2 linked regions of the Schizosaccharomyces pombe genome follow. The protein of the gene in region 1 binds, or shares a complex with, the protein of each later gene. Each region holds a gene or a part of one and is shown in the gene's direction. Other genes may lie near its edges.

What was found.
Region 2: spp27 (region 1) and rrn5 share a complex: the UniProt entries of both Schizosaccharomyces pombe proteins name them as parts of the UAF (upstream activation factor) complex.

Annotation. Positions count from the first base shown.
Region 1 is NC_003421.2:1,829,983-1,837,681, forward strand, and holds spp27 (RNA polymerase I upstream activation factor complex subunit Spp27), read left to right. Parts: upstream 1-2,000; coding exon 2,001-2,193; exon of another isoform or gene 2,194-2,265; coding exon 2,266-2,477; exon of another isoform or gene 2,478-2,610; coding exon 2,611-2,760; exon of another isoform or gene 2,761-2,814; intron 2,815-2,931; coding exon 2,932-3,078; 3' UTR 3,079-4,187; downstream 4,188-7,699. Other genes in the region: msh6 (DNA mismatch repair protein), read right to left, coding at 1-990, 1,106-1,699; hel2 (ubiquitin-protein ligase E3), read left to right, coding at 4,631-4,727, 4,773-4,970, 5,029-6,932. UniProt on the Schizosaccharomyces pombe protein: Component of the UAF (upstream activation factor) complex which interacts with the upstream element of the RNA polymerase I promoter and forms a stable preinitiation complex. UAF seems to stimulate basal transcription to a fully activated level.
Region 2 is NC_003424.3:5,120,598-5,134,715, reverse strand, and holds rrn5 (RNA polymerase I upstream activation factor complex subunit Rrn5), read left to right. Parts: upstream 1-2,884; 5' UTR 2,885-2,990; coding exon 2,991-4,661; 3' UTR 4,662-5,452; downstream 5,453-14,118. Other genes in the region: Prp19 complex subunit, ubiquitin-protein ligase E4 Prp19, read right to left, coding at 1-786, 1,272-1,376, 1,417-1,474; rRNA exonuclease Rrp17, read left to right, coding at 1,778-1,881, 1,922-2,027, 2,075-2,476; Rho-type GTPase-activating protein Rga3, read left to right, coding at 5,878-8,787; protein mug108, read right to left, coding at 9,484-9,936; SPOM_SPAC29A4.22 (uncharacterized protein), read right to left, coding at 10,103-10,324; urease accessory protein ure6, read left to right, coding at 13,136-13,843; pex3 (peroxin-3 peroxisome import protein), read right to left, coding at 13,840-14,118. UniProt on the Schizosaccharomyces pombe protein: Component of the UAF (upstream activation factor) complex which interacts with the upstream element of the RNA polymerase I promoter and forms a stable preinitiation complex. UAF seems to stimulate basal transcription to a fully activated level.

The DNA of each region.
Region 1 (7,699 bases):
AGTCGAGGTATCAATGAAGCAGATACCAAAAGAAGGCTCTTCGTTGTCAGATTGAAGACTTTCTTTAATAGCCATACAATATGTTGACAAGTCAGAAGTCAGCATTGCCTCGTCAACAAGGGTCCCGCTCGTTAAGACTTGGGTAAGGCCTCGCTGAACTACTTTTTCTTCCTTCTGAGTTCGTTGACGATCTTTTATTTCTTTACCTAAAGCGGTTTCCAATTGGTCGACTCGAGCTATACGATACCCCTTTGCAATGAATTGAGATGCCCAGTAATCAAAACTTGCTTCAGGAATTCCAACCATCTTCATATTAACTCTATCAGTTAACTTTAAGGAAAATACCTGATGTCCGATAGCGGCATCATTCTCATATAACTCATAAAATTTTCCCTTCTGAAAAAAAACAACTGTATCCATAAGGTCCTTTTTAATTTTCCAAAATTGTTTCTCAAATGGCTTGAAAGTTGCCCAAGCTGAAGGTGGGATATACAATGTGCGCGGATCATAATTAGGATCACCCACTCGATTTTGATCAGCATCTCGAACATCTAGCAACCACTCGTAACGTTCGTTGTTTTCTTTTTTAAATGCCTCCATTCTTTGCCTTCTTTTTTCTTCTCTGTTCAGGACACCGTTTTTATTCGATTTTGTGGGAGATGCAGAACCCGAGACCGAAGGGCTTGGACTGGCAATTTGAGAGCCTAGCCGATAACTTTCATACAAAGAATTGGAACTCTCCTTTCGAGATTCCTTTTTGGGAATTGGAGCAGCCACAGAAACGGAATGATCTGAATATCCATCAACATCCTCATCCATAGATTCGACTTCATCAATAGGCAAGGATGCCTCAGATGAGGCTTCCGAAATATGATCGGGCTCAACGTAGTCATCCGATTCGTCATCAGAAACGATTCTTTTATGACGAGATCCTTTGGTAGGTGCATCGTCGAAGTCTTCGTCTTCATCACTTTCAGCGTAGGAAACAGGCTAGCATATTGTTAGTCATAATTAATTAAAACAAAAATCTGGTTAATATAGGGGTAAAGTGCGTATTTCCCCTTTTATTCTTCTAAAGTAATATGTATCACTCAATTACCCATACCTTCCTTGAACGCCGAGAAGCTATAAAAGGCTTGTCGACTTCAGATAATTCCGAATTTTCCAGCTTCGACGAGACAGGATGACGAAATTGATCTTCAGCTTGAAATATTGATGTATCCAAACTTTTAAAACTTTTCTTTTTCGTCGGAGAATCGATTTCTTCTTCAGAGTCGGGCTCTTGCTTCACAGACGTGCGAAGCAATTTACCTGGTGACTCCTCGCCCAAAGAATCATGAGGGCGTTTAGGAGATGATCGGTGTAGGCTGCTAGAAAGCGGTGAGGAAAATGGATCACTTGATGGAGGAGGAAGCATAGATGAACTGGAATCTATCTCGGTATTCGCATGATGAGAAGGACTCGTTGGCAATTCGCGTTCCGGAGACGAAGAGTTTTTGTTCACATTGGAGCTGTTGTCAACATCAGCAGGCGTATCATGATTAGAGTCGTGATTCGAACTACTAGATAATGTAGAATCCGACTTCTCTTGTTTCACATTCGGGATTTTGGAGAAAAACCCAAAGAGGGTTTTCTGCTTTGTTTTAGCTGATGAATCTTTTGTTTTCTCCCTTTGCTTGCCAACGTTCCCAACGCTCATACTGGAACAAGTGTTGGTTTTGGCTAAGTTCAGTTATTTACAAAAAGCAGCATTCTAATAGTAAACAAAGCTAACATGAGAGCACAAAATAACATATATAATTTCCATTATTTTTAGTTTTACAAGAAATTAAATTGAAGCTTTATGTATTTACATCTGTAAAAATAGCGTGTTTTTCAAAATCGCATTTAGCTACACCAGCGCTCTTTCCTTCTTTACCGTAATCTATATCCACTACCACCGTCTCACTACACCATACTTTGACCAACACAGTAAGGTGGTAGTATAAAGAACTAGAACGATGGAAGAGTACGAAACAGACATTAAGCAAATTCTCGGTACAGTTGATCGCCAAACTGTATCTGCGAAGCAAGTTCGTCAACTTTTAGAAGAAAGAAGAAAGGTAGATTTGAGTGCGCATAAAAAAGACTTGAATGCGCTGATTTTGAAATGCTTTGATGAAACCGCCGCACCTTCAGAGAAGGAGAGTTTAGGTAAGATGAGAATATTGCTGGAAGAAATTTGCAAATAATAATGCAAGAAATAATAATTAACCAAACTTGTAGAAAAACAAGCACCCGCTCGCAAAACCAAGGGTAAGAGAGCGACGGAAAATGGCACTGAAGAAGGCAAGAAACCAGCAAAGAGAACCCGAAAACGCAAGGAAGATGGAGAAGAGGGTGGAAAACGCAAGAGGAACCAAGATCCTGCCAACAATCCTCTGAATAAGCCTATGAAGTTGTCCCCTAAGTTGGCCGAATTTTTGGGTCTTGAACAGGTAAGGCGGTGTTGTAGTGTGGAAGCCGTGCCTACTCGTTCCATTCAAAATCTTGTTGTTTTGAAAAAAGAGGCAGGCTTACATACTAAATGTTTATTTGCACGCTTTCTCTGCTGATTGCTAACTAACGTAGTTATCTCGTCCCCAAACTGTGAAGAAGTTATGGGAGTATATAAAAGCACATGACTTACAAGATCCCAACGACAAGCGAACAATTCTTTGTGATGACAAATTGAAAAGCGTTTTCGAAGTCGACACTTTGCATATGTTTACCATGAACAAGGTAAGTTAATCATGGATGGGTTCACAATTGTTTTAAGGAGGTTTGTCAACAAACTTTTACTTTGTCGATTGTAACTTTCCTTGTCTACTTTTTTCATTTGGTTACTTGTGGAAAACATTCCGCATTGCTCTTTGTTACCTGCTGCCGAAGCTAAGCTAACTTAATTAATAGTACTTAACAAATCTCATGACGAAGATTCCTGATGATCAATTGCCCAAACCTCAGCCTAAAAATGAAGAACCAGCGGCTCCGAACGATCTTCCCAAGCAGGAGGAAAAAGAGTTGGTCGAGCCTCCTACCGCCGAATCCACCGCTTGAGCCTTTGTGTTTGCTGCATGACCATATAAAACAGCCAAAACTTTTTTTCATATAATATCTTGCAATAATCCCTTTTTTTTTTGTCTCCAAAAATCATTCAAGTTTTTTGCTTTCATTGCATGCAATAAATGTTTATTTCGTTCAATACTCGCTTGCTTACCTGTTTTTCCTCAACAGATTTTGCCTATGTCCATGTCATATCCGTGCTTTAATACTAGAGGCTATGTATGTCTAGAGAGTCTCCACGCATAATCAGATATCGTATTTTGCATTACAACTTTCTGATCTTAAATGCAGTGTGAAAACAAAAGTTCAGGTTGCTGACTTTAGACCTTGGGTTGCTACAAGAGGTAATTTACGTTAGACTGACTGTGATTTTACGAATATTTCTTATCACCTATTCCTTATGGATATCTTTGTGCTTTTTTTTATAAATTCATATAGCATATTGATTTTCTTTTCTAAATGAACTGTTGTGCATGATGGAGATTTTCATGTATTGTATTAACACTTTCTTCACCGCACCTTTAATTATTTTACCGCTGCTTTGCTCTATAATATCATTGAAATAAAAAATGATTCACTTCAGCCCATTGTCGGGGAATTTTGTTTACGAAACCACCGTCGCTTGGAGCTGTCGAAGCCATATCATCAATAATAAATTTTATTTACTACCCTTGCGTATTACAAACCCATAATATGATGTTTGCTTTACAGTTTTGGATGATCTAAGATATGGCTTGGTTGTATGACTAGTACTCGTCTTGTGTCTATAGTGTATATATTAAATTATACGCAAATGGATGTTTTCTGGATATATGCTTTTAAGTCTCAAATAATGTACTGTCTTTTTAATTTGTTTATTATTTTATTTTGGGATTTTCTTTGGGGTTGCAAACCTGTCATCCGTTTGTTAGAGTATGTTTACATAAACATTTTTGTGTGCTTGTGGGTCGTTTTTTTTTTGGAAGATTGCTGCTTATAACCGTCAAAAGACTTATAAATTGATTAGACTGAGTGGAAAGTGTTCTTCTCTTTTATATTAGTCCTTAATGAATATACTTATTATTGATTGAATCATTTCATGGTGTTTACGACTTCTAAAGATCCAATCACACTTTAGATGAAGCCACATTTAACAGTTGTAACAATTGCATTTATTTGTAGACAGGACAACGCTTGCTTACATACATACACGACTTCTTGTTTAAGCACAAAGTAAAAAGATTATGGCGAAAAAGTTAGGGGAATATTTTTTTCAAAACAAATTAGTAAATTATATAAGCCCTTTATAAGAGATTGCTATTTACTTCCGCTGTACATTCAATGCTATATACGTTTCTAACAAAATATTCGATGCACGTTTCAAAAATCAATTCAGAAGCTTAAAAACTTTCCAATAATGTTGAAATTATAAATATATTCTTAGTTTGCGATATTCCAGCTAATTCAGAGGTCTCCAGCTAAACTGTTTTTTTTAGCATACAGCAGCTCGCTTTACGAAATTTTATTTACCCAGCGCCATACACGCAATCTTCTATAAACAATCAAAATGTCGCCTTCGGGCCCCAATTTAAATAATAAGGAGCACAACAGAGCATCGGAAAAAAAGAATTCTAGGACTCATAATAAAAAAACTAATAGGAATCGTACGTAACTTCCTTGTTGACATATTCCTTTTAACACATTTCAAGAAAGTAAAGAGAAACCGGTAAGCTCTAGGTCGGTAGAAACTCCAAAAAATGCAGTTTGCTTAGAGCCGGTTGGCACAGATCCTGTCAGTAATGTCGCTACTGTTGATGCTTCCAAAGAAGAACAGGATGAGGATGAGCAAATTTGCTTCATTTGTGCTGAAGGTATTACTTACAGCTGCGTCCTTCCTTGCAATCATCGTATGTCTTGTATCATGTTTTAAAAATGTTACAACTATGTTTAATCTAACTTAATTAGGAATGTGTCATGTTTGTGCTTTGAGATTGCGAGCGCTATACAAAACGAAGGAATGTACGTTTTGTAAAACCGAATGGGATACGGTTCTCATTACTAAAGATCATGAAATCGATATTCATGATGTCGATTTAGCAAAACTTCCTTTCCAAGATGAGAAACTTGGAATTGTGTATTCTGACGAGCATGCTCAAGAAGAATCCAACCTCTTGCTTCAATTCAACTGTCCAGAAGACGCTTGCGATATCACATGCAAAGGCTGGTTTGATTTAAAGCTGCATGCGAAGGTCAAACACCATAAGTTTTTCTGTGATCTTTGTGTTAAGAACAAAAAGGTTTTTACCCATGAACACACGCTATTTTCCAAGAAAGGATTGACAAAGCACAATGAAGTTGGAGATCAGGGATCCGATTTAGAGATTACTGGATTCAAGGGTCACCCGAAGTGTGAGTTTTGTAATACCCATTTTTATGATGATGATGAGTTGTTTAAGCATTGCCGTGAAAAACATGAACGATGTTACATCTGTGACCAAGTTGCAGGAAGGCCGACGCATCAGTACTTTAAAAATTATGATTCGTTAGAGCGCCACTTTGAAAAAGATCATTATATTTGTCGTGAAAGGGAGTGTTTGGAACGTAAATTTGTTGTTTTTGGAACTGAAATAGATTTGAAAGCGCATCAGTTGGATGAGCATCCCCACAACTTTACTCAACGCGAACTTCGAGAAGCACGAAGAATTATTCCTCAATTTAGTTACGACCCACCCGGCGCGTCCGGCAGGAACCGTCGTGAACGAACTTCTTCCACACCATCCGAACAATCTACTTCAGTGAATGAGACTGCCAACTCACTCTCTAACCTACACCTTTCCCGTGGAGAGATTGCTCACTTACGACAAGAAGAATATGTTCGCGAGCAACAAGCTCGCCATCGTGATTTTGGTTTCACGTTATCAAATCCGGCGCCTACATCTGCCCGCCCAGCGACATCTACTAGAACCATCAGCAGAGGAAAAACTAGAACGTTAAGAAACGAAGATTTCCCCTCTTTAGCCGAGGTTGCTAATCAAAATAGCTCTTCCGCACCCTCAGTACCTGTCTCCGCGCCTCGTCTGTCTGGTAAGTCTGCTTCAAGAAATCATGTTCCATCTCCACCCAAGGGCACTAAATCCCCGATGGCCTCTTCCGAGCAAGCACAACACCAACAAGTAATTGATCGGATGCAAAAATTGACGAATTACGATGATCACAAAATTAATGACTTTAAATTTGCTGTTTCTTCCTTCCGTGGTAATGTTATGCCCGCTCGTGAAGCTGTTGCTCGCATTACAAAATTAGTTGCAAAGCCTCATGAGCAATTGTCGGGCGTGTTCAACCAAATAGCAAATCTTCTAGAAAATAAAGAGAAGTCAAGGGAATTGTTGGAAGCTTGGCAGGAATGGAAAATACTGAATGCGAAAGATGATACTCGTATAGGTACTACTAACTCTAATCTTTTGCGCTTGAAGAGATCAAATAGGACTGCTGCTCAAACAGCTAGTGTTTGGAATCGTATTGAGCGTGCAGCAGCTCACGATGGGCCTTCTTTGTCTGCTCCATCATCTTCTATAAACCTAGCAAATATTACCTCAAGGCCAACGAACAGCTCAGCTGCAAATACTCCTTCTTGGGGTGTGCGCAAAGCACGTGCATCTGCGTTAAATGCAAGATCTGAAGAAGATTTTCCCGCACTTCCTCCTTCTACCTCGAAGAGAATTTCTGTTCAACTCGGAAAAAAGCAGGCTCGTCCCGTTGATTCATGGGGGTCTACACCAAATACTTCTTCCAATCGTAATAGTAATACGATGGGTGTTTCAAAGAAAAAAAACGGAAAAAAGCAAACTGTTTTGTTTCACATTGGTTGATTTTGGTTTATTGTATATAATAATTTTATTGATGGATGGGCATTTCGTTAATATATAATAATTTTGGGATGTACTCATTTATAATCTAGCACTTTATACCTTTTACCTGACTGTTGGGTTGTTTATCTGACCTCATAAAAGAAAGTGTCGTTTTGGAAAAATTAGCATTACATTGAGGGTCCTCCGCTAATGCTCCTGCGAAAAATGATTTTAATTTTGGATGTTTTTTCAGAAATAAAATGAAAATTAGCTTGATATAATATCAACCGGCAGCGAGTAATAGATTTAAAATAAATTTGATTAATTAAAAAAATTTGTTGTTTTAAGCAAGCCATTTTGCTAAAATCAAAGGTAATGGAAGAGTATTTCCGAAAAATCTCAACACATGTGAATGATCAGAAAATTATCGCCATAAAAGACAGAATAAGTCATCAGCGGTTGTTTCATTTCCTATATTTTTTTTTTATTTTTTTATTTTTTAATAAGGGAAAATTTAACGTCTAAGGATACAGAAGATTGTTAGCACATTAAAGTAATAAAGGCTTAAGTAGTAAGTGCCTTAGCATGTTATTGTATTTCAAAGGACATAATCTAAAATAATAACAATATCATTTCTCACAAGTTATTCAATTTTCTTTTTTTTTTCTAATAATATCAAGAATGTATTATTTGTTTGACATAAGTCAACTAATTTATTTAATATGCTGGATTAATCTTGCAGACATGTAAATTAACAAGTTTTAGTCAAATAACGTTGAAGTTTCAAT
Region 2 (14,118 bases), on another chromosome or scaffold:
TTTCGTTTGATGCTGCTAATAAATATTCCCCACTTGGATGAGCTTGAAGGAAGTTCACCTTTTCGTCTATAGGAATGGACGAAGTAGGTTCACCCACACTTTGTAAACCAGATGAGGAAACAGGAAATTCAAAAATTGAAATGGCATCAGCAGTAGCGACAGCAATCTTGGAAGAAGTCAACCAACAACACGCTAAAGCTGATCCTTCAAAAATTTTGAGAGTACTGTTGGATTGGATATCTAGACATAAAAGTTCATCCTTATGAAGACATAATACAAAAGAAGAATTTTCAGGGGACGGGAAGAAAGACGTAGTGCTTTCTGTTTCCAAATTTTCTAAGATAGTAGAAGGAGTAGCTTGCAAGAGCTGACTCACAGCATCGTCAGTCGCCCATTTAGGTTGTAACTTTGTACGTTTCCTTTTGGAAGAAAGTTCTTGAAATGTTTTTTCCACCGTAGAGCGTAAGCTAGTTTTAAGCTGGTCATCACTTTCGCCCATCTCTACCTCTTGTACTTCAATAGTTTTCGAGGAAACAGTGCCTATGTTATCGGAAAATTTCGCCAATGCTTCTCTAGCTTCGTCTCTTTCTTTGGTAAGCCGAGATATAACTCTTAACGCAGCATCTAGCGAATACAATGCCGTTGATAACTCCTGCTTCGTCTCTGTAAGATTTCTTCTAAGTTCAAATTGCTCAAGCGCGACAGAATCCCATTCTTCTTGAAAGAGAGACAGCAATGCAGGCAATGAAGTGGCAGAAGGAGGTCGAGGTCTAACAAAATCAGGTACTGTTTAAAGGTTAGCAATTATCTTCGATTTGATTCGCTTTATATGTGAATGGTCAGTACAATCAAAATATAGTAAATATAAATCGCATTGGAGAGCAAAAACCAAAAAAAATCTAAAGTATTAATACATTTTCCTCAACAACTCCACATTAATTTTGATAAAGATTTGTTTTGATAAATCCGACAAGGTTGTTCTATAATTCTCTAAAAACCTTCCTAATTTCTGCCCCGAGATATTGACATGCACTAAATAGTCCACTTTTTAAGGAGAAATATAAAGCTGTAAAATTAAAAAATTTCGAGTACAAATCAATCATGCAATAAAATACATTATCAACAAAAAAAAGAAAATAAACGAGTTCTTCAACCAATATTGCAGGGTTTTACTTTCCAAACCAATTTCAGAATATTCAGTACTCCACGTATAAAAAAATAAGTGCTACTTGAAATTCTTAACCATTCAATAATAAAGAAGGAAATCTTACCCTTTACAGGAACCAAGTCCTCCAACGTGCATTCCTGTTGAGTAACAGGGTCTTTAGACGTTTCACGAATAACTTGTTCAATCAAGCGCTTCTCGTAAACATTTCCTACATTCAGTCAGACAGGGAAATTATTGTACAAACATACCACTTACACGAGAAATCACCGGTTCTTTTGGCGTTTCTCCACTGATTGAGCAAAACATTCGGCACACGTTGGTTTCTGTGTGTAATAGCTAGAGGAAAGCAATGCATAGCCAACTAATCGTTTACTGCACTATACCAATATCCGTATATAATATAAGGCAAATGCGATGCATTTTGCAAATAATTTTCTAGTTAGTAGTGCAAATGTACGTACAAGGCATAGTAGGGTTTCAGTACCTCTCGTCTTCATAAATCTACTGGACCATTACGAGACTGGATAGAATTGGAGATAATTTACTTAAAATCACTACAGATTCCCATAAATTGTCCCTCTCTTCTAGCTACTCACGAACTGTTGCATCATGGATAATACATCTCTACTAACCCGTGGAGGTGAGATTTACAGCAGGAAGAAAGGGAAGAAGCAAAGATTGGAGGAGATCGTCTTTGATAAAGAGAAGCGAAAGTATGGATATCATAAAGGGATTGCTACTAACTTGTTACAGAGAGTATTTAACTGGATTTCATAAACGCAAAGTTGAACGACGAAAGCATGCTCAAGTTCAATTGGAGCAGCAAAAACGCGAAGAACGTTTAGCGTTGAGGAAATCTGTAAGTTTTTCTAATACTATCTTGAGTATATCACTAACACTATTCAGCTCAGAGAACAGCGCAAAAGAGAACTGGCTGAGCGATTAGCATTCTCTAAAGAGTTGAATAGCTCGCTAGAAAATGATGAAGAATCTTCACAGCAAGAAGATTCCTCATCTAAATCTGACAGCGAGGAAGAGTCATCAATGGAGCCTAAAACTACTGAGTATGACGAAGATGATAAGCATGTTACGGTAGAAATTGTAGAGGACGATGATGATGAAGAAATTGCTTATCCTAAAGAAGGTTTTGTCACGCCTCGTATTTCTCCTCCACCAGATGTTCCTTTGCGTCCCCACAAGCCTAAAAATGCCGCCAAAAAGAAATTTCGGTATGAGAGCAAATTTGAACGTACACAGGACAGAAGAAAAGAAAAAATACGTCGTTTAAAGAAGAAAATAAGACGTTAAATTAGGAACTTCAAGCACACGTTGTTTGACGCATCTTGCCCTTTTTTTATATTTATGAATATGGTTGGTATAAAATGATATTTGAATTCAATTGTCCATTCGTTTTTCAGGTTGAGAATTTTTGGAAGTTAACAAACTACTTTACAAGAGATCATTACATATACGGAGTTTTTCTTGGTCTGATATATGCATTTCAGCCTTTTTCAATTTTTTGTTCACAGTTTTGATTAAGGTGTTTGTACATGCGCAAAAAATTTGTACTCAATAAGCGGTAAGCTAGATTTTAGCACGATTTATATTTTTTTATTATGTTTAAAACCCGTAAATTTTAGAGATACTCTACATTTATATATTCCTTTGGATTTTAGTATATTAGCGAAATTCACTAGAATACCGAGTTTGATCTTTGTCAGAACACAAACCACGTCTGGTAATGTGGTAAACAAAAAAATATTAAAAAGAAGACTGCAACAGCTTTTATTTCATTAGCGTTGATCATGTTCTCAATAATAACATGTCTTCTTCAATAAACGGATTAAATGAGAGTGAAGGGTCAACGCCTTTAAGCACTGCATCTATCATTGGCTCAAGTGAGCAATTGTACATGACTCATGATGAACGATACCTAGACGTCCTTCAACAATACGAAGTTGAGACTGAAAATAAGCGTGACTTTGATTTGGAAGAAGAACAATGGGGCGTTCTTAGTGGCTCTTGTGTGGATGGAACTTACTGGAGTGCAGAAGAAAAAGAACTGTTTTTTCAAGCGGTTGCTCGAAATGGGAAAAGAGATTTAGATTTGATAGCTTACTCCATTCCTTCTAAAAGCGCTGTGCAGATCGAGCGTTACATAAATGCCTTAGAGAATGAGCTACGTTGGCTTCGTAATCACGTAGACGCATCCGTGCGCAGTCAATGTTTGTTGAAATATGAAGATATACCTATTGCAATGGAAATGAGTCAGAATTGGATTGATTGGGAAGAAAAAATTGCGGAAAGACTTCTTGAGGGTTCGAATATCTCAGGGGTTGAAACTTCACACTATAATGCGCAAAGTGTCAAAAACAAAACCTCAAATGAGGATTTATTTGATACAAATGAGATGAGAAAGATTTCTGAACGGTTTTATCATTTCGATCGACAAGCGCCTTTTCCAAGCAATCCACTTTCTGCTGGCGCTACGGAGTTTTTATTACAAATCATTAAAAGCAAGTTGAAGGAATTAATCGGAACATCTATATTTTTGGCGGAGTCTAGGTTTAGGAAACTAGAGGCTAACAATGCCTTTCATAGAAAACCTATTATCAAGAATAGAGACGTTGTTCTGTCAGGCAAATTTTTACGATTTCACCGATTCAATATACCCGGATTTTGGAAGTATTTACCCACTAGACAAAAGATGAATGTTTACAAAAGAAACAAACGTCTCAAATTTCAAAATTATATACACATAATGGAATCTGATGAAAGACAATCAAAACTGAAATTAGGACGAGTCAGAGCACGGAAGACAAAAAATAACGAAAACACCATGTTTTTTGATTCTAAGGAACATTCGACAGATGAAAGCGATGGTAACCTTGGAGAACATGATGTAAAGCGCAAGGTAGATTCTGTACCCGCCGATGAGACTAGCATCAATGGTTTTAAGAAATCTGTTAATCAGGCTGAGTATCCTGATAATGCTCAAATGTTCATGGATGAAAGTGTCGCAGAAGAAAGTCTTGTGGAAATTGATGACAGCGTCGAAGCCTACGACATGATTCAATCCAAAAACTACGAAAGCTTTGTTTGGAAATATGTGCTGCATTTAACCGATGAGATGTCGACAGAGGACGCTCTTTTTGAAACTATACCACTTAGTAATTTGCTGGCTCAAAAGCGAATGAAAGACAAGTTAAAAGGTTCCGACGTGTTTACGACTCTTAAAATAACTTCCAAGAGCTTGCACAACATTGACGAACATTCCGATAGTGATGATGAAGTTCAACCTATATGTTATTATTACAAGGATCCAGTTGTTTCCCATGCCCCGGGTGCAGCTGAAGTCGTATCTGAACTTGAAAGCGGATATGTAGGGTTAATATCCTATGATTTGTCTAATCTTCCAAATAGTACAGAAGATCCTGAAAGGAAACTTGCAAAACCTGTCTCTTCTTGGGAGTTGTCACTCCCTTTAAAATAGATGTCTTCATTTTCGAACTACAGTCTTGAAGCCTTTACAAAAACATAAATTGTTTTTTAGCGCTGCCTCTGTGTTGGATAGCAATCCTTTCTTTTTATCGTCATTTTCTGCCAAGTTTGTTTTTTCCTAGAAAGAAAATTTAATACTTCCTCTTTATAGCAATCAGTTATTGCCATTTATAATGATGAGTCCCAGTGTTCACAATATTCTGAAACTTTTTTTGTTAAAAACTGATTGCTTTCTTCCGTATAATTGTCCCAATATTCGCACCACAACTATAAAAATTTTTTTTAGGAGCCTTTACTTCCTTCTTAAAAGCAATAGTTACTTAATCAATTATAGCGACCCCGCTATTTGAGATACACATTTTATAAATTCTACACTTTTTGGAAACGAGCATTTTCTCTTGTCCCTTTATTTGACGATCCGACCGTTCACGCTACAAACGTCTACAAAATTTTTTTCTCTAGAAAGCATCTCTCCTTCTGTTTACTCCTGTTGCTACCGAAATTTTTTCTTTTTTTTTGTCCTCTGTGTTTTTTGATCAGGAATGTATATATCTTTAACCATTTTTTAGCGGGTTTTTTCTAAAGGTAAAGCTATTTAAGCCAGAAAAACAGTTCATTTTCCTTTTTCCTTCTAATTTCGGCAATTTCCCTTTTCACAAATATCACCATTTTTGAGTGGAAAGAAAAGCCTAGAGAGCGGAAACGCTGCCAAACCCATTAAAATTAATTATCTGTAATATTATAATCGTATTTAATAGCTATTCATAACACCCGTTTCGTCTAAACTCCCGTAATAAACCATGTGACTTTTGGCAATTTTACGCACCATATCGTAGAACACGGCGATAATTTCCATAGTGTTTCGCTAGGCTAGGGCAAGGCAAGCCAAAGACCATAGTGCCATGTGTACGACGCATGCAAATTTTAAGGGATTAGAGTGAACGACTCGCTACTGCCGTTCTCACCGCTCCACTGGGCAATGATGCCAACAACTGCAGTAATAATTATTCCTTAGCCATTTACCAATTGTTTCGAACTTCAATCATAAAATTGGGAATATTTTCATTTACTTGATGGGAAGCTGAGGAATGAAAATAGGTACCCAAAGGAATCGTTGTGAAAATAAAAATCAACAAAGCCAAATTCATGACGCTAGATTGAAGTTCATAACGTTTAGCAGGAAATAAGAAGAGCATATATACGATAAGATGATATTTCGAAAAAGTATTTCCAAATCTCCATCAAGCAAGGGAAGCACAGTATGCTTTCGCTGCGGACAGGCATTTCAACGTAGAGAGACACCTATTTCGTTTGGGGGTCATATGTGGCATAAGGATTGCTTCTGCTGTACGAAGTGCGATAAAGGATTGGAGCACAGTGATCAAATGCTGGTGCAAACCTCTGATGGACGACCGGTGTGTAGCTCTTGCGCCCATACCTGTACAGCGTGTCGTATGAGGATCAAGGACTATGCCCTAATGTCAGGCTACGACTCCTATCACAGAGAGTGTTTTCGTTGCCATGATTGCCGAAAGCAAATAATTGACTCTAACTTTAAAAGAGATAATAGGACTATATTTTGTAATGATTGTAAACAAGTCCGTCACCCTTCCAGGTCTTCAGACGAGAGCGCTGATTATCACAATTTTGAGGTTGATGTCACGATTAAGCCCACAGAGACAAAGTCTTCAGTGGAATCTAATAAGTCTTTAAGCATTGAAATTATGTCTCCTCAAAAGCCACCATTATCACCTTTTGGTGGAAGCAGAGACCGCTTAGTTAGCGAAACACCGACTAACATGAGTCAGGCAGAAGGGGGTAATGTGCCGAACGATGGACAGGATAGTAATCTTGCGTCTAATTCTGCAGATTCGCTGCTGCCTAGTGCCAAAAATCGAAGTTTTTCCTCGTTTACGAGTTTTGAATCGCCGATGAAGTATGACGATTCTTTCTTTCCTATTTCACCTTCTATATCTCCGTTACAAAAAGTTAACAAGCAGCAACAAATTGAGTCTCCTACAGCCACATTTCCGTTAAGCAAAAATACTTGGAAGAATCGATTCCATACGTTTCACAAACAATCTTTTACTCCTGTTAACGATAGCTCTTCCTCGGACAGCTTAAAACCCACAATTAATGAGGAAGCCCTGGACGACTTTGCTGGCTCTGCTTCTCCTTATAAAACCATGTCATTGACTGACCGAGCAGAGCCAATTGTCATGAATGGACATATGCGTTCTCTTCACAATGCCACCTCTCCCTTTCGGCCTTTTTCTCCCTCTTACAGGTCGAGTGATACGCATTCACCGAGAACCCGCTCACCGAATGTCCAAACCCATAAAAAAACCTCTTCTCAGCCATCTGACCTTTCATCTTTTGCGCAGCTACTTTCACCGCCTCAGGTTCTTTCTCCCAAACCAAATGGCGGGGGCCATAAAAGTTTTCGGCATTCGCATTCTCTTTCTGAGACTTCTCAGCAAACACTCGTTCCTTCGCTGGGATCTAATGGAGAGTACCATTTACCGACAAACGATCATTCTTCAACTCCAGCACAATCAGAGCGAGATTCGGATGTTGAAGAATTGCGTGAACAGTTGGAAAATCTTACTGCTCTTACCAAAAAATTGTCCGAAAGGCTCTCAAGTTCTACGTTTGACAACTCTAAGTTTATTCGTACGGAAGATAAGGATACTGTTCGTTCGGCTAAACTTGAAATTTGTGAAAAGTTTTTTTCGTTTGCTGATGTGACAGATGATCCCACGCTGAAAGATCCGAAACATCAGGATTTGGTGGCTGCCGCCAATGCTTACATGGCAATGCTTCGTGAGAGTTACGGCACTGAAATAAACAATCTTTTGGAAAGGAGAAATGAGCTGCTTGACGATTACAATAATGTACAAAAAATTTTAAATGAATCGCTTGAAGCATCTGTACACCTAAATACCAAAAATCTCGAGTTGGCCGACTTAAACAACAATTTGGTAAAACAAATTCAGCATAGAGTACCTCCTGAAAACCAATCCAATTTGGAGCATACTATTACCACATCTTCCAAAAATACAACCAGCAGTATTAATCCACTTACTGCCGTGAGTAGCAACTCTGGGCAGTCATCAGGTCGACCTGGTCCGTTGTCACCAAATTTGAATGTGACTACGAGAATTGACATTAAGGGAAAAAAGGGAAGTATGCATTTGCAACCAAGAGATGTAAACCGTAAAGTCCCGTTCAAATCAATGCATACTAAATCAAAGTCTGCCGATCCTGTAGTAGGAAATGAAGATCGTACTCAATGTGACCATGTGTTTCATGTTAATGCCATATTCAAGCCCTCAAGGTGTTATATATGCTCGGAGAGCGTATGGGGATCTGAACTCCGCTGCTTTCATTGCTCAATTTCATGCCATTCGCGGTGTTTAAAAAGGCTGTTTGCAGAGTCGGAGCATGAGAAAACAATGAGTGAAACTGTAAGTGAAAATAGTAAATGGATGCCGGAAATGCCAACGAGGATGCCTCCTCCTGGGCCTTCACCAACGATGTTTGGACGATCGTTAGAAAATCAATTGAAAATTGAAGGGTCGGTTTTGCCTCAAGTAATTGCTATGTGCGTTTCTTGCGTGGATGCGCATGGATTGGAGGTTGAAGGTATTTATAGGATATCTGGCAGTGCTTCTCAGGTCCGAGTGTTAGTCGACGAATTTGAAAACGGGTCTATCCGAATGGAGCATTTGACTTCTGACTTGTTTGCCTGTACGTCGGTTTTGAAAACATATTTGCATCGCTTACCGGAACCAGTTATACCTGGCACTCAATACGAGGAGTTGTTGGAAGCGGAAAAAATCGAAAAGGAAGAGGAAAAAATTGAACGGGTAGTGGAAGTAATGAAAACGCTTCATCCTGCACATTTGAGCGTATTTCGATTTTTGATTGCACATTTGGGTCGTGTATGCAAGCACGCGGAGAAAAATTTGATGAACTCGAAAAATGTCTCTACAGTATTTGCACCTACTTTAATGCGAGATAAGGTGAATCGGTTTGATTTACAGCATGCTACCAAAAAGAGTACGGCTCTTCAGTTTATGCTTGATAACGTGGATAAGATTCTTCATAATCTGTAGCTTGTTTTATGAATAATGATTAAAATATCGGGGAACTTGTATTTTTCTAGGGAAGAAGGAACTTTACGATAATAATAACCACTTGTGTTCCAAACTTCAATAAGGAATACTTTTCGAAGAAATAATGAGACTTTTTTTACACCTCTTTTTTTTAATGAAAAAAGGAAAACAAAGATATTAGCATAACACTCTTACATTTACGACTGAACTATTCAAACTGGGTAATACAGGATGTACATTATGACAAGCAGGCAAGCACACGCACGCTCATCAGATACAAATAAATACGCACGCAAATGGAGATTGTATAAAGATATTTGCCATTAAGCATTGCGAGATGCAAAATAAGGAAAATATAATGCTAATTTGATAAAAAAAAAAGAAAACAAACTCTTTTTAACGATACTAAACAGAACTCAACTCGATTTGGTTCGAGTATTTCGTTTCTCATAACTTGAACATAAACACAACATAAACAACTCATCAAAGACACATACATACACAAACACTACGGTCGTGCCATCATGTCTCGAAATCTCAAAGAATGGTATGGGGAACATGGTGAGGGATGAATGGCAGTGAACGTGAAAGGGGATGGATGGCATAATTAAATGTAATCTGCAACATTGTCAGTCAGGGTATGACTAATCAAAAAATAAAAATTACAAGGGAGTAAGAAAAAAAAAACAAAAGCAATCAAATAGTACTACCTAAAAGGCTTATATCCCTATCAAGATAAGGATCGTTTTGCTCTTCCTCATCAAGTTGTTCCTCGTTATTGTTTGCATTTTTCTTTTGTGTTCCATTAGCGCTCTTGGAGCGTGATTTCTTTCCTCCAAAGATGCTGCCAAGACCGCCAAGAGACGAGAAATTAACACGGCCAGTATGTTGACTGGAACGGTTGCGAGTAGACTCGGACCTGGAGTCATCGTCGCCGATATCTTCCTGAGTGGCATGGTAGCTGGAGCTCTCCATGTCATCCTCCTCTTCCTGGACCAAAGGTCCGGCCTCTGGATATTCATTCATGTATTCGTTGAATGAATGAACGCCCATCGAAGGATGGCGTTGTCTACCGGAGAAGGAGTGTTTGTCAACATGATGACCATGGGTTTCTTGAGTTTGATCACTAGAAGTAAAACGATTTGCCATTGCGGTGGATTTGAAGAAATTCGATTAGTCAATTAGTATTGGATGAAATTCAATTTCAAATTGATTTGGATTTGGATTGGATTGGACTGTCAATAACAATTTTCAACTCAATTGGTTATTGTTTGTTTTGTTATTGTTGTTGTTAGATTGTCAGTGGGTGGGTAATTTAGCTTGACTCGCTGATGATCAATAAGGGTGGATATGAATACGATTCGGTATTTGTTATTACGAAGGATGAAATATATATGTACTGTATTTTGGGAATGGAATTTTCACTCTTAGTGCCCAACCTTCTATTTATCTCCTTGCTGTGGCCAAATGTCATACGTATTGGGTTGCTACATTGAATGTAAGTGTGCCTTACTCGTCCTTTCACCCGCAACTCCATTGTTATCCAGCATCGTCATCCACTGCAATCGTGGCGCCAACCTCTTCACTTCCACCACCCATATAGCATATTTCCGTGAGTGTGTACCTCGGCGAGATCCGTTAAGTGGGTTTACGAAACAGGCCAAGAGGAGGAGGAGGGTTTGGTGATAATGCAATGGAGCACACAAGTAAGCAGGACGAAGTATGATTGATGGATGGATGAAGGAAAAGAAGAGAAAATGGCAGGTTGGTTTAGAAGAGGCTGTTCATCCCGTGGTATCGCAGTCTCAAGTATGGCACGGAAAACAAGCGTCGTTTTAATTGTCCAGGAGAAAAACAAAAAGGAAACAAGACTTTAGAGGGTCAGTCTTTTTTTTATGTCTTTTCTATTTTTGCTTTATGTTGTTGTTTTATATTCTTTCTTTCTTTTTTCTGCCTTCTTGACAATTAATTGATTTCCGCGGCAAGCTTAGTCAGTCTATAATACGGTGTTGTGCATCAGAGATGTTATGGCATTGCGTCATGATCGACACCCTTCCTAATCCCTTTTTTCTCCGCCTTCGCTTCCCCACACTTGGAGTCACAAGGCTGAGTCGATGCTACCTGAAAAGATGGGGTAATGGCATGACGAAAAAGACTGCAGGAAGAGAGGGGTGGGTGAAAGAAAGGGATTCAAACGAGACATCAATAATGGATGGAAGAAATAAAAACATAAAAGAAAAAAGAAAAAAAAAAGAAAGAAAAAGTTAAAGAAGATGAAAATTTTTGTTTGTTTGTCTCAGAACTAAAGTTTTTTTTGCTCAATTTTCTGTTCAATTTCTTTGATTCGCATTTTGTTTTGTTCCACTTTTTCTTTTTTTTTTGTCTTTGTTCCACCATTGGTTTTCTTTATCCATCTCTGTCCATTGTTGGTAATCTTGCTTTATGATTATAGGAGTCCTTTGTTTTCTCTCTCTCTTTTTTTTTTTATTTCTTTGTATGAATTGCCTTTTTTTTGACTAGCGTTCTTTGTCATACATGTCATCTTGAAATAGATGGTTTTGATTGTTTCTTGTTTTCAATAACTTTTTTTTTTTTTTTTCTGCTCTCTTTCTCTTTTCATTTTTTTTTTGGTCAGCGTGAGATACTGGCTTTCATTGAGCTACAATAAATAGTTTTGACTTTTTATTTCTATTTCTATTTCTTCTTTATTTTCCTGCTGTCTTTCTCTTCTCGCATACACAAAAGAGACTCAAACATACACACACACATACTCGGAGAGTTTCTCTCTCTCTCTCTCTCTTTTTTTTAGAGTTTCCTTTTTGCTCACTTGTTTTTCTTTGATCGTCGTTCTTTACGACATCTTTGTATTATAACGAAAATAACCTTTATTTGGACTTTCTTTTTATTCACTGTGGATGAGCTCACTGTGTTGTTCCATGCACAAATTTGTCACTTTCCATGTGAATTTTTCGTGGGGTTGTTGTAAACATTCATGAATTCCTTCGTTTGCTTTTTTTTTAAACAATTTTTAATTTTTATTTACTGTTTCTAATGCTGACATTTATTTGCCTTTTTTATTTCATTGCAAAACATTATATATGTATTCATAGTAAAAACTGAAGTGAAAGTCTATTACAGTCATTTAAATAGATTAGCTCATCTGTATTAAAATTAATAAAAGCATTGCAATTTATATTATAAAGTATGCTTAAAGCATTGTCTCGTGAGAAAGTCCAGTAGGAATTACTTAATTGAGCAGCGCCTTTTCTACTTTACTTTGTATACTATATGTTATTGTTTTACAGTTATCAAAACTTGCTTTTCCTTTCCTGAAATAACTGAGGTCAGTAAATTTAATGCTTCCAAACATCTTCCTTTGTATCCTCTTTTCAGTACATTCATTTATGAAGAAAGTTGTAATTACTGCAGTAAAAGGTGTTTCCCAAATTACAATTCCCACACTCGTGCTTTATTTTGCTAATTCACTTAGCACTCATACTTAGAAATCGTTATTTTGAAAGTACCATTGTAGAACTTAATAACACCACTATAATGGACTATCTAAACGTTGTGTAATTTTTACATTCGTTCGTCCTATGTTCAGTAAAAAATCTTTGCATCATTGACTTGGAAAATGAAAAGCTCATCCATGCTTCTCTTCCCTTTCTCATAGACTCTTGTTTGCCCTTTCCATTATTTTTAAATGTTTATTTATTAAATAGTGATCACTAGTGAATGTCAATAATAAGGAGTTGCATGATTTTCATCCCTATATTGTTTCCAGTAACGATGGATTGATTGTATACTGCAGGTGCAGGATCTTTGATGATAAGAAGAAACTGGATCTGCATGAGTGCAAAAATTTTTCTCTGCTTAGTCCTTCATTTGACCATACACACGATTCATATTTAATATTTAACCACCTCTTGTCGTTCATTTTGCATTTTCTTTTCTACGATACCTTTTCTCGTATTTTACAAATTATCATCCAAATACCAGGCGGTTAAAAACCGTTTTCTCAACCTTTTGATGCTGTATAGACATACCAAAAAATAGCGTTCCATCATTTTTTATTCTTGTCGCACCGTTTCGTTGAGTTGTAGGCTCGATAATTACTGAGAGAATCGGGTTTAAAAGTTTACTTTCACAACTTCCTAAACTCCTCTTTTCTTCTCTTTTTTTGAATACTAAAAAGCGTTTTATATACTAGATATGCACACACATTTCGCAAAAGTAAACACCCAGGGATAGCTTTTTTTTCTATTCTCCAAAACACTTAGATCCAACCTTACTACTACTGATTATAGTTGGTGGTTTTTTGTTTTCACTTTCTAATTTCATTACAATCATGACTGATTCGCAAACGGAAACACACTTGTCGCTAATTCTTTCAGACACTGCGTTTCCTCTGTCATCTTTTTCTTATTCGTATGGGTTAGAGTCGTATTTGTCTCATCAGCAGGTGAGAGACGTCAATGCATTTTTCAACTTTTTACCATTGTCCCTCAATTCAGTGCTACATACCAATTTGCCAACTGTCAAAGCAGCTTGGGAGTCACCGCAACAATATTCCGAAATCGAAGACTTTTTTGAAAGCACACAGACATGCACAATTGCCCAAAAGGTCTCCACCATGCAGGGTAAATCTTTGTTAAATATTTGGACAAAATCACTCTCCTTTTTCGTTACATCAACCGATGTCTTCAAATACTTGGATGAGTACGAAAGAAGAGTTCGTAGTAAAAAGGCACTCGGTCATTTCCCAGTGGTTTGGGGTGTGGTATGTAGAGCCTTGGGATTATCGTTAGAAAGGACATGTTATCTGTTCTTATTGGGGCATGCAAAATCGATTTGCTCAGCAGCTGTTCGCTTAGATGTTTTGACCTCCTTCCAGTACGTTTCCACTTTGGCTCATCCTCAAACCGAAAGTTTACTTAGAGATTCGTCGCAACTAGCTTTGAACATGCAACTAGAGGACACTGCTCAGTCATGGTATACGCTGGACCTTTGGCAGGGTAGACACAGTTTGTTATATAGTAGAATATTTAATAGTTAACAATCATCAAAACTGGAAAATACGATTGCCATGTAGCGATTTACATCTGAAACCATTTGTAGAGATTGAAAAAATTGCTCTTGGAAGGGTGCTTCGAATACGTTTTCGGAAATTTTAGTAAACGTCGTCAAAATTTTTGCCAAACGAATACCTTCCTGAGGTATGCTAGGTAAATAAGTCAACATGTGTTCATTCAAAGCGATCAGCTCATTCTTCATAACGATCGATGCATCCATTTGGGTTGCAAAATCCTCTAGTTCCAAAACACGATATAG